2 linked regions of the Drosophila melanogaster genome follow. The protein of the gene in region 1 interacts with the protein of each later gene in a pairwise test. Each region holds a gene or a part of one and is shown in the gene's direction. Other genes may lie near its edges.

Region 1 (10,605 bases):
GAGCTTGAAAAGCAAATTAATATGCAAATAATTGAGTGTCCATTCGCCAAATTGAAGCAATGGTCGCAGCCCAAGCAACGGATCGCTGAAATAGAGAATCGTTTCTGCAATGAGGAGCATCTGGATGAGCTCTACCATTTGCTGAGGACACTAAGAGTCACCGATGGAGGGCAGCAGCCCAAGCCCGATTGTCTTAAATTACTATTTAAACATACACCAAACCTACGGTCCAGGATGTCACTGGTACAACCTAAAAGCTATACCAATCTCTATGAGAGAAATGCGTACACCGCACGATCAACGTCAAGACCCACACAACAGAAAGCTGTTCAAGAACAGAAAAATCAGCTAAGTTCCGAGTACGCCCAAAAACTTGCCAGGGATGTGCAGAAAAACGACCTGAAAAGCATGATTTTGGCCTACGAAGGCAGTATGATTGGTTACATGATGCAGTTCCTCACCGACGAAATGAATCGCCTGAAGGAGCAACGCCGTCTGCACTTCTTCTCCCTATTGGCGAGTAAAAAACGCTGGCAACTTGAAGCAGCCGAGGCGGGCCTGAGGCAGAAGGAGAACAGCATTAGGCTGCTCTACGAGGAGATGTTCCAGTATACAAATGCGGTTAGCACCGATGTCAGTGATCAGTATGTGCACAGCATTCTGACCGACGATCTGGGTTATATGGCTGCCAACGAGGCGGCGGAAGCGGTCACGGAAATGGCCAAGCAAATTGATATGGACATCGAACGATGGCTCGAGAGTTTCAAGCTGATACAAAATCCCCTCAACTATATTCCACTTCGATTGATGCTGCACGACATGGTCTGTCCGGATCTGAATGCTGCTCTGCAGCGTTATGAGGCTACCATGATTGTGCAGTACATAGTGGAAGATGTGGTCTTTGATGGAATTTGGAAGGCACTCGAACCCTTTGATATATCCAGCACACTGACTAGCGATCTTATCGATCGACTCATCGACAACGATCTGTATTTGTTCTCATCGGATAGTGAAAGCGAAACGCCACAGAAAACTGGCTGGTACGAAGCTCATGCCATAATTCGAAAACTTATTCGACAATCGGTGCCTGGCAGACGTTGGAAGGAAGAAGCCGAACGAATAGTTTATGAAAACTATATTGATCTGCTGGACAGTGTATTTGATGAAATTTTGCAAAAATTTGAAGCGCCATCAAGAATTGAGCCAGTTGTGGTGCATCGAGCATATTCGCATGAAAACCTTACCAGCAGCGCCAATTTTCGATTGGAAAAAGGTGTTTGGCAACAACTACCACAAACTGAATCTGATTTCAGTTACGATCCCAGTACGAAGATAATTAAAAGACAATTGTTAAGCCTTGAAAGAAAAAATAGTAGTAGCACAGTTAAGGGTTTCTTCTCAGATGAAATCTACAAAGGAAGTCCACAAAATTCTTTGGCATCGAAGTTTATTGGAACAGATTCCGACGCCGAAGACGATCCTTGGCCATGGTTACCAGATTGTAAGAGTCAAAGTTCATCCCAGGAATAACTAATGGATATCATGAAAATATTCAGAATTTTACAGAAGAAAAACAAAGGAAAATAAGGAACTTTAGCTTATAATAAGATAGGCTCATATTTTTTTGTAATTTGTCTTACAACCATCTACGTTATGTATATTTTTAATAAATATCGGGCCATATGTACATCTTATAGATTGCGATTTGATTTGATTTCCGATTTTACAACTAGTTCTTATGAGCCGCCTATCGATTGGCCAACAAACAAAGTGGCTCCCTAGCAGCAAATTGGTTGCCTGGCGAATAATATTTGCTCCAGATTGACCGACTTACCGACAATCCAATAGGGCTCGGGCATAAGGACAAGCTGGTTAGTTTAACATAGTAAGCTACTTATATAACTAAAAAACTAAGCACTCTTCTAACAAAAACCCTAGGCACACAAAAAAAAAAATACAAAAAGATATTAAAGAGATATTCAAACACAACATAAGGTAAAAATGCCCTCGGCAAAGGAAAAACGATTGCGCAGGGAAAGAATACTACAGTTCATACGCGAAAATAGGGAGCTCATGCCCATTAGTTCGACGACAGTACTAAAGCCACCTACGGTTAAAAAAGAGGACACTTTAAAGCAAAAAAAACGTGTCACATTTACCCATGGCAAACAGAGGAGTATTGGGGAGTCGACCAGAAACAAGGATAACGAGCAGAATATTGGTCAGGGCCTAACGTCCTGTTTGATCACCAGGTCCTCGGATACCCGATTAGCCAGCGGTGGGTACACCCGGATATAAAGTGGTCGTTTATTAGACATCCGTTTTTCCAGGAGCCAACAACCCAACAGAGATTACGGCGGAAAAACTCCATCGAACCGACAGCAAAAGCCATTTGAAGACGTCATGCACAAAATGCCAAGACTCTCGATTATCGGCTGGTGGGTTTATCCTGAATAAGATTGCCTTTTTTTTAGTAAAAACGATTATATTTAAAAAATGTCCAGGTACAAATAATCCAGCGGCGCGAGATGTTGGCAAATTACCACGAACCGACAGCGAGTGCAAGTTCAACGAGCCCGGAATCTTTTTTCTGCAGAAACCCCATTCGGATTTTACCACTCAGGAAGTCAAGCTGAACGCAAAGCCTATAAGAAAGGAGTTGAAGAACAAGTGCGACTTCTTTCCGAAATATGTGGACAATCGACCATTCAAGGATGAGGCGACACAAACCCTCTATAGGTAGCACAAAGAAAGGAAAGATCACTGAACCCATATAATATCAACTTGTCGTATTTAGGGAATCTTCTGCGCAGACTTTGGCCTTTTTACCTGAAATACTGAACAAGGACAAGTCGGAAACTTTTGAGCTTTATACACTGGCCAAATTGCTGCCAGGCGACAAGCCACCGGGATTGCATGAGGTGGAGTTTTTGGAGCGGGCCCGTCGACGATGGAAATTCAGTAAGGCACTGAAGGATAACTTTAAACGACTTCTTTGTGAGGCGAGGGAAGTGTCTATCAAAACGCAGTACAAGGAGATTCTGGAAGCCTTCGAATGGGAGCAGTGGATACAGCGCGAGGAGGACATACAGCAGTGCCAGATGATGCGCCTGGAAATCGTGATCAAGATGTTTGACAAAAGAGAGAAGGAAATGCACAACGCCTCCAAGGCTCGAATTGAAAAGTCCGTACAGCAAATAGAAAAGCGTCGGCAGGATGGTCTGCGCAAGAACGAAATTGAATACCAGCGGGGAATGCGACGCAACAACATTCAGTTGGCTAAAACCGCTCGAAAGTGGGAGAAACAGAGCCCCATGCAGGCACTTGGATCACCGTGCTCCGAGTTCTACGGCCCACTGATAAGGTATGGTGTTGATCCAGCCCGAAGATGCTTTGAATCCAACACTGGACGCAAAGCATTCGACATGAGGATCGATGAACTGGAAAAGCGGGTGAACATGCGCAATGTGCAGTGCCCCTTCAGCAAGCTGAAGGAGTGGTCCAAGCCCAAGGAGTACGATAGAGAGTATGAACGCAACTTCTGCAATGATGGCAATCTCCAAAGGCTGTACGAGTCCTTGAAGACATTGAGAACGCAGGCCGACATGGCAAAGGAGCCACCGCAGTGCCTGAAGACACGATTGCGAATTGAGCATCGCACATCTAGTTCCAGTTCCACCGATTCATATCGCAACTACAATTGGCAAGCTCGCAAATCACGCTTTGTGGAACTTTCCGAGGGATTACGTAGCACCAAGACAACAATCAAAAAAATGGCCCCACAAAGAGCTGAGAAGTTAGTTAGGGGCTCTGTCATTAGGCGCGAATATTTGGAGACACTGATATGCTCATACGAAGGCAGTTATGTTGGCACAATGATGCAGTTCCTGGCAGATGAAATGCAACGATTGAAGGAGCAGCGCAAGCTGCACTTCTTTTGCATCCTGGCACAAAAGGAGCGCTGGCGCCGTGAAGCAGCGGAAGCGGGATTGAGGCAGAAGGAGAACTGCATGAGAATGCTCTACGAGGAGATGTTTCAGTTTACAAATTCAGTGCACAGTGAGATTGCTGAGAAATATGCCGACACCATATTGACCACCGATGTGGGCAACATGGTGGAGGAGGAGACAGCCGAAACTATTACCGAGCTGGCTAAGCAAATCGATGCGGACATAGAGAGGTGGCTGGAGTCCTTCAAACTGATCCAGAATCCACTCAATTTCACCCCACTTCGTCTCATGCTGCAGGACATGGTCTCACCGGATATGGGCGCTACGCTACGGCGCTACGAGACATCCCTGATTGTCCAGTACATTGTAGAGGACGTGATCTTCTACAATTTGTGGCAGGAACTCGAGCCATTCGATATTGCCAGCACTTTGACCAGTGATCTGATCGATCGCCTTATTGACAACGATCTGTTTTTGTTCTCATCGGACAGCGAAAGCGATTCTGGACATGGAGCCTCCTGGACAGAGTCCCATGCCATCATACGAAAGCTCATTCGCCAAGCTGTTCCGGGTAGACGCTGGAAGGAGGAAAACGAGAGGATTGTCACCGAAACCTTTAGCAGCCTGTTTGACGATGTGTTTGCCCAGATCCTATTTGGCATCGAAAATCCGGAACCAGTTCGGGGCACCGAACTTTTGCACCTTTGTGCAAGTAAATCGTATGCCTTCCTCCCTCACGAGATTCCAAGTAGAGTTCCTTTGGAAAAGTTGGAGTCGTCCCAATCGGAGTCATTGGAGAATGCTAATATTCTACGAATGCAATTCCTATCGCTCATTAAAAAAATTAAAGAAGATAAGATAACCAAAAAGTTGGAGAGAACTGGGGAGAAAGTGAAGATGTCTGCAAATGAATACGAATTATTTGACGACTATATCAAAAACGAAGTGCTCCAAAATGCGGAACTCCTTAACAGTGTGTCTCCGGTGCCAGAGCCTGAATTATGTTCCATCATAAGTACTGTTGATATTACCGAGTACGACAATAATCTAAAAGATCTGCGAGGTTCCTCGATTATTCAGCGTTCGCCTTCAGCCGAAGAGGAGGCCTTTGAAAGTAAAGACGAAGAAGTTAGATCGGACAATTTCAATGAATTCATCAACGTAGACCAGGAAAAAGTTGAAGATGCAGAACCAGAACAAGAGAATGTATCTGAAAATTCGGGAAGGGAATCTGACGACTTAGAATCCATAATTGGCGAAGAATTTGAGGAAGAGCATACCGATATGGCCGAAGAGGTCGTGGTTTACTCCACCAAAGAATCGCAGGTCTTTAAATTCAGATAAATTTTCAAATTCCATCTTTCAATTTCCTGGGCAACGGAGCTTTTCGTTACTTTCATACGCATACATAAAAAAAAATTATTATTGAAAATAATACCAAATAATAATAGTGGTAAAATATATTTATTTAGCTCGCATGTTTTTGGGGAAGTGATTTTCAAGTGACACCTCTTCAAAATATTTCTTACTTAATGAGCCTCAAGCAGACCTTAAAAAATATATTTAGTTCAATCGAAAGTAATGTACAATCCCTAGAAACTCAGCTGGCACAACAAAGCCGTGCCGCGAATAATCCAATGTGAGACTGGAGTATTCGGATTGCAGAGTAGCAACATGGCCACCACAAAGTTGGTACTATGACCAGTGGTGGACAATACTCCTCGACGTTCGGCAGTCTTGTACATGGGACACAGATAGTTATGACGCTCCGGCAGATCGACGCGCTTGAGCGGTTTTAGCCAAATCAATGGCATCGTATCAAACAGTTCCCTTGGCCGGGACTCGGCTAGATACTTTCCAGTGCGATCCCATCGTGCACCCTCTAGGAAAATGCCATACACAAAGACGCCATCCTCGGGTCCCGATAATCCCTGCCTTTGCGGCTCTTCCACCGTGAGAACTTCGTAATCGAAGGCCAGAAGATCTATGGATATGACATACTTTCGCGCATAGTTCTGCTGGGCACCGGTTAAAAAGGCCTGAGTGAAAAAAAATCCAGATAGCCAAAAGGTGGAAGGAGCTCCATGATCAAACCAGTGCTACAATAAAAGTTAAAAACATGTTTTTTTATTTTGTATTGCTGCGTACTTTCCATATCACTTACCTGCAAAAACTCAAGGCGGCGCAAAAAATCGGTCACATAACTGCCCAATGGCTTTAGACTTGGGTACGATTTTCCAGCCCACATTGCAGGTATTTTGGCTATTAGGACGGACTTGTAAACGGCCTCAACAGCAGGAGACATTACAACCAAACCTGTTGGTGAAAAGTTAATTTTTTAATAATACACAAGTATTTAATAAACAATCATACTAATACTTAATATGAATAAGTTAACTTAGTAGCCCACTGAAATTAGAATTCAAAATTAATTAAATATGAAACCCATTTGCTGACACAATACTCATCAAAACCCACATAAAAACTACACTTATACAAAATATAAAAATATAAAAAAAAACACAATGTCCAAACACAATACACGACTCGATAGGCATGTTAAGTTTAGGATTCTTCAGGAGGACAGGTTACAATCACCGAGACAAAAAGAGGATAATATCAAACGGAAAAAGAGCACTTCCAAATCTGAAAATCTTACTGAACGTGGCCTATCATCTTGTCTGATCAACAGCTCGGTAGATCTGCGGATCACAGGAGGTATTTAATGTTAAGAAATTGAAATTGGATTGAAAAGGTATAACACAAGTATTACTTTCAATAATTTGATGATCCTTTTTCTAGGTGAGAATGACCCAGCACAGCGCAATGTTGGAAAATTGCCTCGCACCGACAGCGAGTGTCAGTTCAAAGCTCCGGGATACCGATTTCTTACCGAACAAGATACTACAGTGAACACCCATGAGGTCAAGATGAGCCCCAGGGTAGTGACGAAAAAGGATTTAAGGCACAAATGTGATTTCTTTGCTAAGAACAAGGACGCACGACCGTTTAAGAATAAGATCACGCAGACGCTTTACAGGTAAACTCCAAGTGAACTAAATACTAATTTATAATTTAATATAACTATACGTATTTGTTAGAGAATCCTCTGCGCAGACAATGGCTTATTTGCCGGAGATTTTTGAAGCAAACAGCGTTGAAACCTTGGAACTGTTTTCCCTGCCATCTATATTCCCAGTAGCAAATCGACCGGGACTCCATGAAGTTGAGATTCTGGAACGCGCCAGGAAACGATGGGCCTTTAGTGATGCCCTAAAGATTCACTTCAAAAACCTACTTCAAGACGCCAGGAAAGTGGCGATAAAAACAGAGCTCAAGGAGATTTTGGAGGCCATTGAATGGGAGCAGTGGATACAGCGTGAGGAGGACATTCAAGAGTGCCAGATGATGCGTCTCCAGATCGTGATTAAAATGTTTGATAAGCGGGAGAAGGAGATGCACACCGCTTCAAAGACTCGAATCGAAACAGCCTGCGAGCGAATCGAGAAGCGACGTCAGGCGGGTTTGCGAAAAAACGAGATCGAGTTCCAACGGGGAATGCGCCGAATGGAGTTCCAACTTACGAAGAATCCGCGAAGGTGGGAGAAGCAAAGTCCCATGTACGCGTTGGGATCACCCAGCTCGGAGTTCTACGCTCCGCTTTTAAGATACGGCGTGGATCCGGCGCGTCGCAACTTTGTGTCCAAAACAGCACAAAAAGCCTTCGATATGAGAATCGATGACTTAGAGAAGCGAATCAACAATACCGACTTCAAATGTCCGTTTAGAAAGCTTAAGGATTGGTCCAAGCCCAAAAAGTATGACAAGGAATATGAGCGGAACTTCTGCAAGGAAGACAATCTACAAAAGCTCTTCGAATCTCTGAAAGGCCTAAGAACACAGGCCAATGCGGAGAGAGAAGAACCAAAATGTCTAGTACGGCGAAGAAAACCCGAATTGGGTAGAGCGGCATCCCAAATAACCCTGGCCTATCTAACTGACTTGTACGAAAGGAGCGATTCTGATGAGGAATATCGTAAATCGCGAGCTTACGGATCCTTTTCACCACACGCAAAGCCGGGGACGAACAAAGTCTCAGAGACCACACTATCGCATTTGAAGAACGACAGGAAGCGCGAAGAAATGGAGCACATGTTGAACATTTATGAGGGCACCTACGTGGGTTGGGTGATGCAGTTCCTCTCGGAGGAGATGACCCGACTTTCGGAGCTGCGAAGGCTTCACTTCTTCTCGATTATGGCCCAAAAGGAACGCTGGAGACGCGAGGCCGCCGAAGCCGGTCTGCGACAGAAGGAGAACGAATTGAGATTGTTGTACGAGGAGCTTTTCCAACATTGCAATGTGGTCAACAATGAGATCTCCAATAAGTATTTTGCCAACATTCTGAGCTCTGATATGTACGGCATGGCCGATGGCCTTGCTGGCGAGACAGTGAGTGAATTGGCCAAAAAGATCGATGCGGATATATTGCGATGGCTAGAGAGCTTTAAGTTGATCCAAAACCCCCTTACCTATGTGCCACTACGAATAATGTTGAATGACATGATTTCACCGAATATGAACAATATTCTGCAGCGCTACGAGAATTCCCTGATCGCCCAGTACGTATTGGAGGATGTGATTTTCCCAAAGGTGTGGAATGAACTAGATCCGTTTGATATAGGATGTACTTTAACGAGTGATCTCATAGATCGCCTAATCGACAACGATTTGTATCTGATGTCCACTGACAGCGAAAGTGAAACCCCACAAAAAACTTCCTGGCGCGAAGCTCATGCCATCATAAGAAAGATCATACGACAGGCAGTTCCTGGCGATCGTTGGCTTCAAGAAAATGAGCGTATTGTTAACGAAAACTATAATGATCTATTTGACGACGTGTTCGCAGGCATATTTGACAAGTCTGAAAATCCTCCAGCCGTGAGGCCATCACAACTAATCGAGCTCTGCCCTACTGTCTCTCATAATTACATTCATCACATGGACAATATACGCGAGATGGAAAACTTTCATACCGAAAATGCTACCTCACAGCCAGGATCAGAATTTGAAAAAAAACAGTTGTTAAACATATTAAGAAAACGCAAAGAAGACAATATTACAAGAAATTTACAAAACTTTGATAATCCCCTGGCGGGTGAAATACCATCTGACAGCGACATATTTCTAAGATCTCAAATATTCAATCCAATGCCACTTCCAACGACGACACCAAGTGATTTGTTCAGTCTTAGAAGCACTCTCGATGTTTCGCATGCCTCAAAATTGGGATCATTTGTCGGCAGGGGCTATAGAGTAATGCTTCCCAGTGAGGAAGAAAAAAATTCTAACGTTGATGTATCAAAACTTCCGATAGATAATGACGAGGAAGAAAAATTTGAATTGCCAGCTTCAGAGTTTTCTGAAATTACAGGGACTGATATAGACTCGCCGAAGGTATCATTTCATAAAATTCTGTCGACAATGGAATTGAGGACGAGGATTTCATCAGCATCTGAATCGCACGATAAGCAACCAGAAGAAGAGAATTTAAAACCACTGGATTCATCTCCATTAAAATTAGAAAGCTTAACCACCCCATCTCCTGGTGAAGCGAAAACTAGAGACTCCCCTTCAGTTGAATTAAAGCCGGTTACTGAATTAGTTTCTGAGAATGTAATACCCACCACTTCCTTGGGTACTAGTAGTATAATAACCAACGATACAAACACAACAACAAACGATTTAGACCAAGAAAAGGAAACGTCTAGGGAAATGCGCTCGGTAGTCGAGTTCAATCTTGAGCCTCTAAACAGACCGGAAGCCGAACTCGGACTGGATGCCGAACTCGGACCGGATCTCGAAGACGAACCGGGATCCGAACTTTTGCTCTGGCCAGAACGGGAGTCCTTTATCCCACCCGTACGTTCGTCGGGGGTCAGAAATTCAACAGTCGAACCGATTAAATCTGAGAAAGGATCGCATTCTTCTAAAAGGCCTAGAAATAAATCCATAACCGATCAATATGAAGTTGAGGAAAGATATATTGGCTCCGTGAGCAAGAACCATATCCAAATTAAGGACAAAACCGCTGAGAACATAGATAATATTGTACCAGAATCTGAATAAAAACTAAAAATGTGTGCTGAAAAGAGAATCTTAGAAGTGAACAATCTGTCATAAACAAATTGCCAAAATAAATGTATATTTTGATTTATTTCGGTGTAATTGTATAATGATTTATCTGAAATGTATTAGTAGGAACGATAGGGGTACTTTATAAAGTTTTGATGAAAATAAAAACAAAAAGTAGTCGAGTTCTTCGACTATCAGATACCCATTATATAGCTAGTTGAAATTTTTGTTTGGCATATCGATAGAAAAATCATTACGATATCTGCAAGGGTATCATAAATAAAATGGCTTACTCACCCTTGATTCCCTTTCGCAGCGTGATAAGGCTAGTTCGGATCGTGTTCAGCAGGACATTAAAGCGCACCATCTCCTGAACGAGCACCGTGTTCATGCTTTGGTGGTAGAGAGTGGGATACTTTAGCAGGGCCGCATCGCGGTCGAATAGCTTTGGCAACTTGTCCAGAATATCGGTTGCCACATTTGTGACAACCTCTTCGGGAGTTAGTGCCTTGGAACCACC
Region 2 (7,315 bases), on another chromosome or scaffold:
ATCGCTATATTCGGGTATCGATACTCGGTACTTATAGGGAACAAGAAAATGCATGACTTTTTAATCAATATCAATAGAAATTAAAACAATAGCTATAACTCACACACAGCGTTGGCATCGCAAAGTCTGCATGTCTCAACTTTCAAGCATTTATAGTTTTCGAGATCTCGTCGTTCGGACAGACTGACAGATCGCCTCCGCTATCTATCCTTATTAATAATATTTATATATACATTATAGGGTAAGAAACGCTTCCTTCTACCTATTACATACTTTTCATCAAATCTAGTATACCATTTTACACCATTTACTCCCAATTTTTCCAAATTCTGCGGTTTTAGGCAGAAAAATGGTAAAAACTTTTACACATGTTTCATGGAAGGCACTATACCCTTGAATGTACGTGTAACATTTATAATAGTTAATGGAAACTCGTTTTGATATTGTAATTACTAATGCATCTGGACCCGCATTGCTCATACTATTTGAATATCTCTTACCTCTCGCCATATCAAACTAAAAGCCACAATCAGGCTGGGAGCCAAATCAAATAACCTAATGTATACTATCTGGAGGCCTCGGTAAGCACTTAAGTGCTACACAAAGCGGAGCCAATCGCGATGTCCAGGGAGTAGGCCTAAAATGACTAACAGTGGGCTACACTGCACAGGGATATTTCAATATTGGGGAATAAATGGACAAAAATATAAAAACATTTTTTCAAAGTGTGGGCGTGACACGCTTAAGTGGTTTGTGGGCATTTAAGTGGGAGTTGAAAAATAATACCAAAACATTTTCAAAAATTTGGGCTGGGCCAAATCGACTCGGTTAATGGCCGAAAACGCTTACCTCTGCCGGTTGCATAGTTTTTAACGATTCTAGTAACGATTCTCAACGAGTAACGGGTATAAGACATATAAACTTGTTTAAGAGGCACATACAAAATTTCTTATTAGAAAACCAGATTATACGTAGTCTGACCTACAATTTGGCCCACTGTACTTCTAGGCGATGTTAATACAATTAAAAATACCCAATTTCGCCTCAGCTCGTCAGGTCCCCAACGTTACTGACGGATATCCAAGGGCCTTTGTTTCTGTTGTTGCTGGTGTGTTTGCTGGTGGTAGGCAGCTGTGTCAGGATGTGGCATCTTGCCACCGATGCCGTGATGCCATTAGTCGTAAGTGGCGCTTTCCGTTTGATTTTGGTGGCATTTGACTTTATTAACCAAAACTACTCGGCGGCTCCTTGGCCTAGGTGGCTGGGTGTGTTTGGGTGTGGGGGCCTGTCTGACCTGGCAGCATCGAAATGGGTCAATATGTGTGCGCTCCACTTGGGCGACTCATGTAATATGTATTCTGGCGGCCGCAGTCGAGTGACATCCTTAGAGATTTTACCGAAATGAGTGAAGGAGAGGTCTTTGTCCGTATTTTGGGATGTTTGCACTCGAATAATGCACGCGACGAACGTTGTTTTTGGACTCACCGTTTGATTCTGGGCATGACAGGACGGAAGATTGCGACTGTACCTGCTCAATCATTTAGTTGGGCTTAGTTTATTTATTTCACTAATGGAATTGTTTCCCGCTCCACTTATCCTCGTCAACTTCAGGGTTTCTACTGCAGGTCGTCATATTTCCGTATTTCGATTCATTACTAATTCTCTTGGTTATCTACCGATAAATTTGACCGAGAAATCCGCAACTGCTGATTGTCCCATTAGCACAAAACAGTTCCGGGCATCATTTTTGAATCTTTTTTGCATTGACAATGTGTCAGCGACAGCACAACTGAATAAGGAAAGCCACAGATGTCACCACGAACGAAGTGCCGAAGGCATCGTCAGCTGTGAATCATATGATATGTATTAATATTACAATGAAGAATGGATAATGCAAAGGTTTTGGGCCTTGCAAGGACATCTGTGCGCGATGGAAGGAAGGAATTGTAATTTCAACGTTGGATATGTGTGCCAGAAGGGTTCGCCTTAAGATTGTCATTCACTGGCAGTTTTGGCATTTTCCCGACTTCATTCAATGCTTTTCTTTGCCCTTTATATCAGCCACACAATACACCTGCGCTACACCCTGAGCTGTCGCTCAGATTCTCAGGCAGACCAAATACACACCCCCATTGTGTAATATCTATGTAATTCAATAAAGGCAGGCAAAGGAAGGAAATGCAGGGAAGTCCAGTTCCGGGCCGAGAACTCCCAGGAAACGTAGTTAAAGCCCAGAAATTGTCTAGTAAATTCGTTCCAGTCTCTTCAACTCTGTTCCTTCACATTGCTGCAGCCCGCCCTTTCAACGAACTTTAGCTTGCGTGTAAATCAATTTGACGCATTTTTTCTCCTCCGACTTGTCTGAAACCTAGTAGCTGCACTGAGATCGAGGAAGAGATGGAATGACCGGATCAAAACAATGAGTTCTATAAATAGAGAAGATTTCTGGGCTTGGCATTCACAATCCACAAATGGTTTTAAAATCCAGTATTCGTTAGGGAAAACTGATTCAACCCATTAATGTAATGCACAAATTCCGAATGTTTCATATATTGGTTGTTTTGTTTTTTAAAATAATGCATTTAATGAAATTTGAAAAGAGTACCAATAGCATAGCCTTTGCTTGGAATCGAATAGTGCATAAATAGACTGGATCACCAAAGATATTGTTTAATTAATTTGATTGAATTCAAAAAACTTTTTATCTTTGGCTGCAAAAGTTAGTTGAAACTTTTTGTAAAAGTGGTATGTGTAGTGCACAAGTTCCTTGGCCTGACTACCGCGTAAAAATCGAAATAAAAGTGACCGGATGTAAAAACTTGTTCTTTACTAGGTTATATTTACCCAGTCGTATGTGTTTTTATGAGAACAAATAGTTTTTAGTAACTATAAAATAATTTAAAAGATTTATTAATGTATTATGTAAATTAAATCCTGAATACTAAACATTTAGTAAAACTTAACATAAAAAATAAATATTATAATTCAAAGGGAAATCTTAAAATGGCTTAGAAAAAATCAATCTGGGTCCTTAAAACTGTGAGCCTGTTGTCAGTTGAGTTGAAATTTGGAAACCCGTAATGAGTCATCCTTAAATTTATTGTAATGCGCTTATACTTGACCTTTTTTGGAATATCAATAGTTTTTTTGGCGACCTTGCTTCAAATTCTTGCCATACACAGCACTGGGAATTGCACCTTCGCAAAGAATGTCACTCTAAAGTTCGTGTGCAAGGGAAATGTCCCCAAGGATATGTATACAATGTTTCGGGACAACCGAGCTCCTCCCGACACTCCCTACAGTGTTTGGCAGACCGAAGAGGACGACTCTGCTCTTCTGGTATCGTTTTACACCACGATGTTTCCAAACTATGATACCATCAATCTGCAGGAAGGCGAGATGGATCTTGGCCAATTCTTTCTAGCCACCAAGGGAAGAAATACCAACGATCTTTTGTTTGTGACACCGTCTACCCTCCACTGCTTCCCCTTCGGTCTGCGCTATACGAATGAGCTAAAAAGGCACTGTCTGGGCCAAGACATAAGTGAGGGAGGTGTCCTTACCAAGAAGCCCATTATTCACTACGGCTCGCTTAGCATAAAAACCCCCGACTTGCCGAAGAGTGATGCAACTTCGACAAGTGTGAAAAGAAACCTGCTTCTTGTCGTGTGTGCGGTGATCACTTACTAAAATGAAAGTTTTGTACCCGAAAAATCTAAATTTAATGTAAAAATGATATTGTTCAAAATTGAATGAATAAATTGTTGCGCTAGAAGAAGCGTCGCTTTCCAAATGTCAGCCATGATTTATTAGTCTACATTTCTACATGCCATACCCTATGGACATCAACCTACAAAGCCATGACATGGAAACTGTGGCTGCTCCCGATCGCATTTCTTCTGTCCTCTTCCGAGGCCTCCTTCGACTCCTGCTACTTCATGCTAGAAAACGAAATTCCATTTACGCTGGTTTGTAAGGCCGAATACAGCACCGACCTGAAGCTGAGCTACCGAGACATTTGGCTCAGTGCCGACGTACCCTACTGGCTTTGGTGGAGACGACTGCCCAGTGTGGAGCTGCTGATCTCCTTTTATGAGTCGCCCATATCGCCGTGTGAGAACGTTAGCCTGAGCCTCAACTGCCTTCATTGTGCTGACTCCGATGAGCTAGGCATACACATTCGACCGGAGAGCATCCACTGTTTTGACTTCTCCTTCTCCTACGTGCGGGACCTGATGAAGCACTGTGGACTGTCGCCGGCCACGAAGTTCGATCGCGTCGCCATTTTGTATGCGCGGCGGGTTCCCAATCGTGATATTCCGTCTGGGGCCGCCAGGACTCGGCCTTGGACCCTGGGACTCAGGCTTCTCTAAGAAAGTCGATGCTAAGCGGATGCTAAACGCAGGGCCGGGGGCAACTAGAGAATCTTCTGTCAAGCGGGGGAGAAGTGATCGGAACCGTTTTTATTCTCCTGGAAATTCCCATCAAATTTTTCGAAAATGATCAAAGAATCATTTGCCTATAAGCAATGCCAGTGCGCCTCTCAAGCGCACGAAGCCTGAATAACAAGTGGATCGACCGTTCGTCGCTCCGTCCTCCTCAGCATACAAAGCAACCCAAGCATCCTCGGCACGCCCTGCGCCCGGTCTGCAACCCACCGCCTTCGACTACGACTTTACCGCCGCCCAAGCTCAAACCACATCCGCCGTGCCCGCTGTTCCGGCCAGTGTCCTTCCTGCTGCTCCTGCTCATCCTCGGACCAGTGTCGGCAGCATGCGAGGACCAGAACTGCACCTTCCTCGAGGGCTACATCCTGCAGTACGTGTGTCACAGCAGCTACATAGAGGAGATTCGGCTGCAGCACAAGGACCGCATCCCGGCCATCGGGACCCCGTACGCCATCTGGAAGCGTCCCGACACCCACGACCCGTCCTACCTGCTCATTTCCTTCTACGACTCGCCGCTTTTCTCCTGCTACACAGTGGTTATGCACAACGGCAAGTTTTACTGCGACGGGCGCAACTTCATAGAGCCGAACACGGAGGTCGAGCAGATGCACTGCCTTAACTATCCGTTCCACTACACCTTACACCTGTACAATGCGTGTGCCAAGAAGCCGTGCTCGGAAGGATCGCCACCCATCGCAGTGGCGATCGCCTACATGAAGAGCAATATCAGGAGGACTAGTGAGGCTGTACCTCGCGTTAAACGCCCTGCGGCTGTCCCCCTTCTTGTGCCCATAATTCCCCTTCTCGTATCACGATATTTTGGTATTTTACTATGTCAATAAAATGGTTCCGAATAGTTATATTGTCGCTTAATGCCGGGCAGGGCAACCTCAATCCTTCATCTGCGGCGCTTCTATCCAGCCACCTAATCCGCGTCCACATCAATCCCCTCGTTTGCCCTGTGATTGCATGCATTATCTCGAAGCTGCTTATTTTACTCGGGTAAACAAAATAGGCGGGTCCTCGCCGACTAGCAGTTCAGCAGAGTCCATTGTAGTTGGCCTTAGTTTCTGTAGTGCTGTAGTTGCTGTTGTGGCATGAAATTTTAGACATCCCAACAATGGCAGCCAGATGCAGGCATGGACAGCCGCATACAGAGGCTCAGCTAACTGCCATTTTACGCACACAGCCGGAGATTCGTCGGAAATGGGAGGATGGGGGGGCATCACATTTCATTGTCGTCATTGTCATTGGCGTTGGCGTAATTTATGTGCTTATATGGACTGCCGCCATATTGGTCTGTGGTGCTCAACACTTGCGTGTAGATGTTTGGGAAAGGACTTTAAGCGCATTCATTAAGTTTATAGTTTTAAAGGGCTCTGTGTCGCAAATGAAACAAGCAGAGCAAAGCTCTTTTTAAATTTTATTGGTATAAATTCACTTGGGACAAATTTTGAACAGTGTGCGAAACAGCTCCTTATTCTGGCGTCCTTGGGAGACAGACGATTGCGTGGTCAATGGAGCTGAGGATCCTTCCAATCCCAGCACTTCGGTATTGTTGCATCCGCTCTTGACATTCTCCAGCTTACGAACTATGTAGAGCAGCACGAACATCGAGCACAAGCGCATTTTGCTTCAAGCTGGCAAACTGGTAGTTCACTTGAATTTCAAATATATTGGATGACAGCAGTTTCAATCTTTGAAGAAAGACGCACACCAGGCAGGCCAGCCAGATTTCCAAACCAGGGATTCCCCTAGAAGATCCACTTTTTGACTCTGTTTTGGCAGCGTAATGAATCGTAGCCTCTCCCTTCCACTCAACATTGAAGAAGCGCAGAGCTATTGGCTTGGTGCATTCGTATAACAAGTCATCTACGTAGGTCATTAGTTCCTTGTGGCAGAAAAACTGCGTGCCGGACACTATTAAAGGTGATTTACTGACTCCGCAAAAGAAATCGAGTTCATCGTCCAGCTGGATCGTGGCGTTACAACTTTGCACTGGAGAGTCGTTGAAGCTTACGAGGAAGAAATAATATCCATCCTGGTCATAGTAGAAGATCTTGTAGGGCGCATTTACGGAAGTTAGCCGGTCTTTGTATTTCAAATATAGGTCAGCGTTATAGACTCCGTCGCAAAGAAGCTCGAGATGGGTGTATGTAACCAGGGGGCAGTATAGTTGCATAGAACCATCCGCCACGGTTAAAGATTGTTGGAAAGCCATCACGATAAGCAAAAACAATGAAAATGTTACATCATGCATCATTTTTATTGTCTTTTTCATTTGAAATTTCTTTGAAAGATAACTGTGAATACGTCGACTTAGCGTTTAAATCGTAGCAGTATAGGAGAAATCCGATAAGGAAAAAATTCAGAATGCTTATCCAAACATTCACACTCAAATGCCACTGCACATTAAAACGGCGGCGATGAATATCACATTAAAAGTAAGGGAAAATAAAACGAAGAGCTTTCCTCGGCCGAGTCTCTTATATCATCATTAGTTTCTAACGGCGCCAAACAAAGCCGTTCCTCTCACGCGCATGTCCTGATTTTCACACATGGCTGATAATGCACACAACAAAGCATTCCCAAAACAGGATATAAAAAGGGCACGGTAGGTAGGTGCGCATTTGCGTGTGACTTTTTGTGAATGTCTTTAGTTTTTGAACCGGGCTTTCACTCTACCTGTACACAAATTCGCGCCCCAAAAAAAAATGTGATAATAAACGTTTGCAAAAGTATGCCAAGAAAATAAAGTGAATAGCACATGGGGCACCTCAATGAGTGAATGAGAGTGATAATATTTTATACTTTCAATGGTTCAGAACCTGACAACTACCGAGTAGAGTTTAACTCAATTTTTTTTA

The links. Proteins that work in one complex are often made in the same cells at the same time.
Region 2: the proteins of CG15143 (region 1) and CG43330 interact in a two-hybrid assay, tested with the Drosophila melanogaster proteins (one large-scale study listed by BioGRID).

What each region holds. Positions count from the first base shown.
Region 1 is NT_033779.5:17,520,392-17,530,996, reverse strand, and holds CG15143 (uncharacterized protein), read left to right. Parts: upstream 1-6,447; 5' UTR 6,448-6,475; coding exon 6,476-6,668; intron 6,669-6,752; coding exon 6,753-6,990; intron 6,991-7,051; coding exon 7,052-10,079; 3' UTR 10,080-10,105; downstream 10,106-10,605. Other genes in the region: CG15145 (uncharacterized protein), read left to right, coding at 1-1,530; CG15144 (uncharacterized protein), read left to right, coding at 2,002-2,278, 2,331-2,438, 2,505-2,739, 2,798-5,294; Dhc36C (dynein heavy chain at 36C), read right to left, coding at 5,543-6,049, 6,115-6,266, 10,383-10,605.
Region 2 is NT_037436.4:22,500,969-22,508,283, reverse strand, and holds CG43330 (uncharacterized protein), read left to right. Parts: upstream 1-3,860; coding exon 3,861-4,373; 3' UTR 4,374-4,415; downstream 4,416-7,315. Other genes in the region: CG43329 (uncharacterized protein), read left to right, coding at 3,106-3,690; CG43331 (uncharacterized protein), read left to right, coding at 4,529-5,290; CG43312 (uncharacterized protein), read right to left, coding at 6,034-6,669.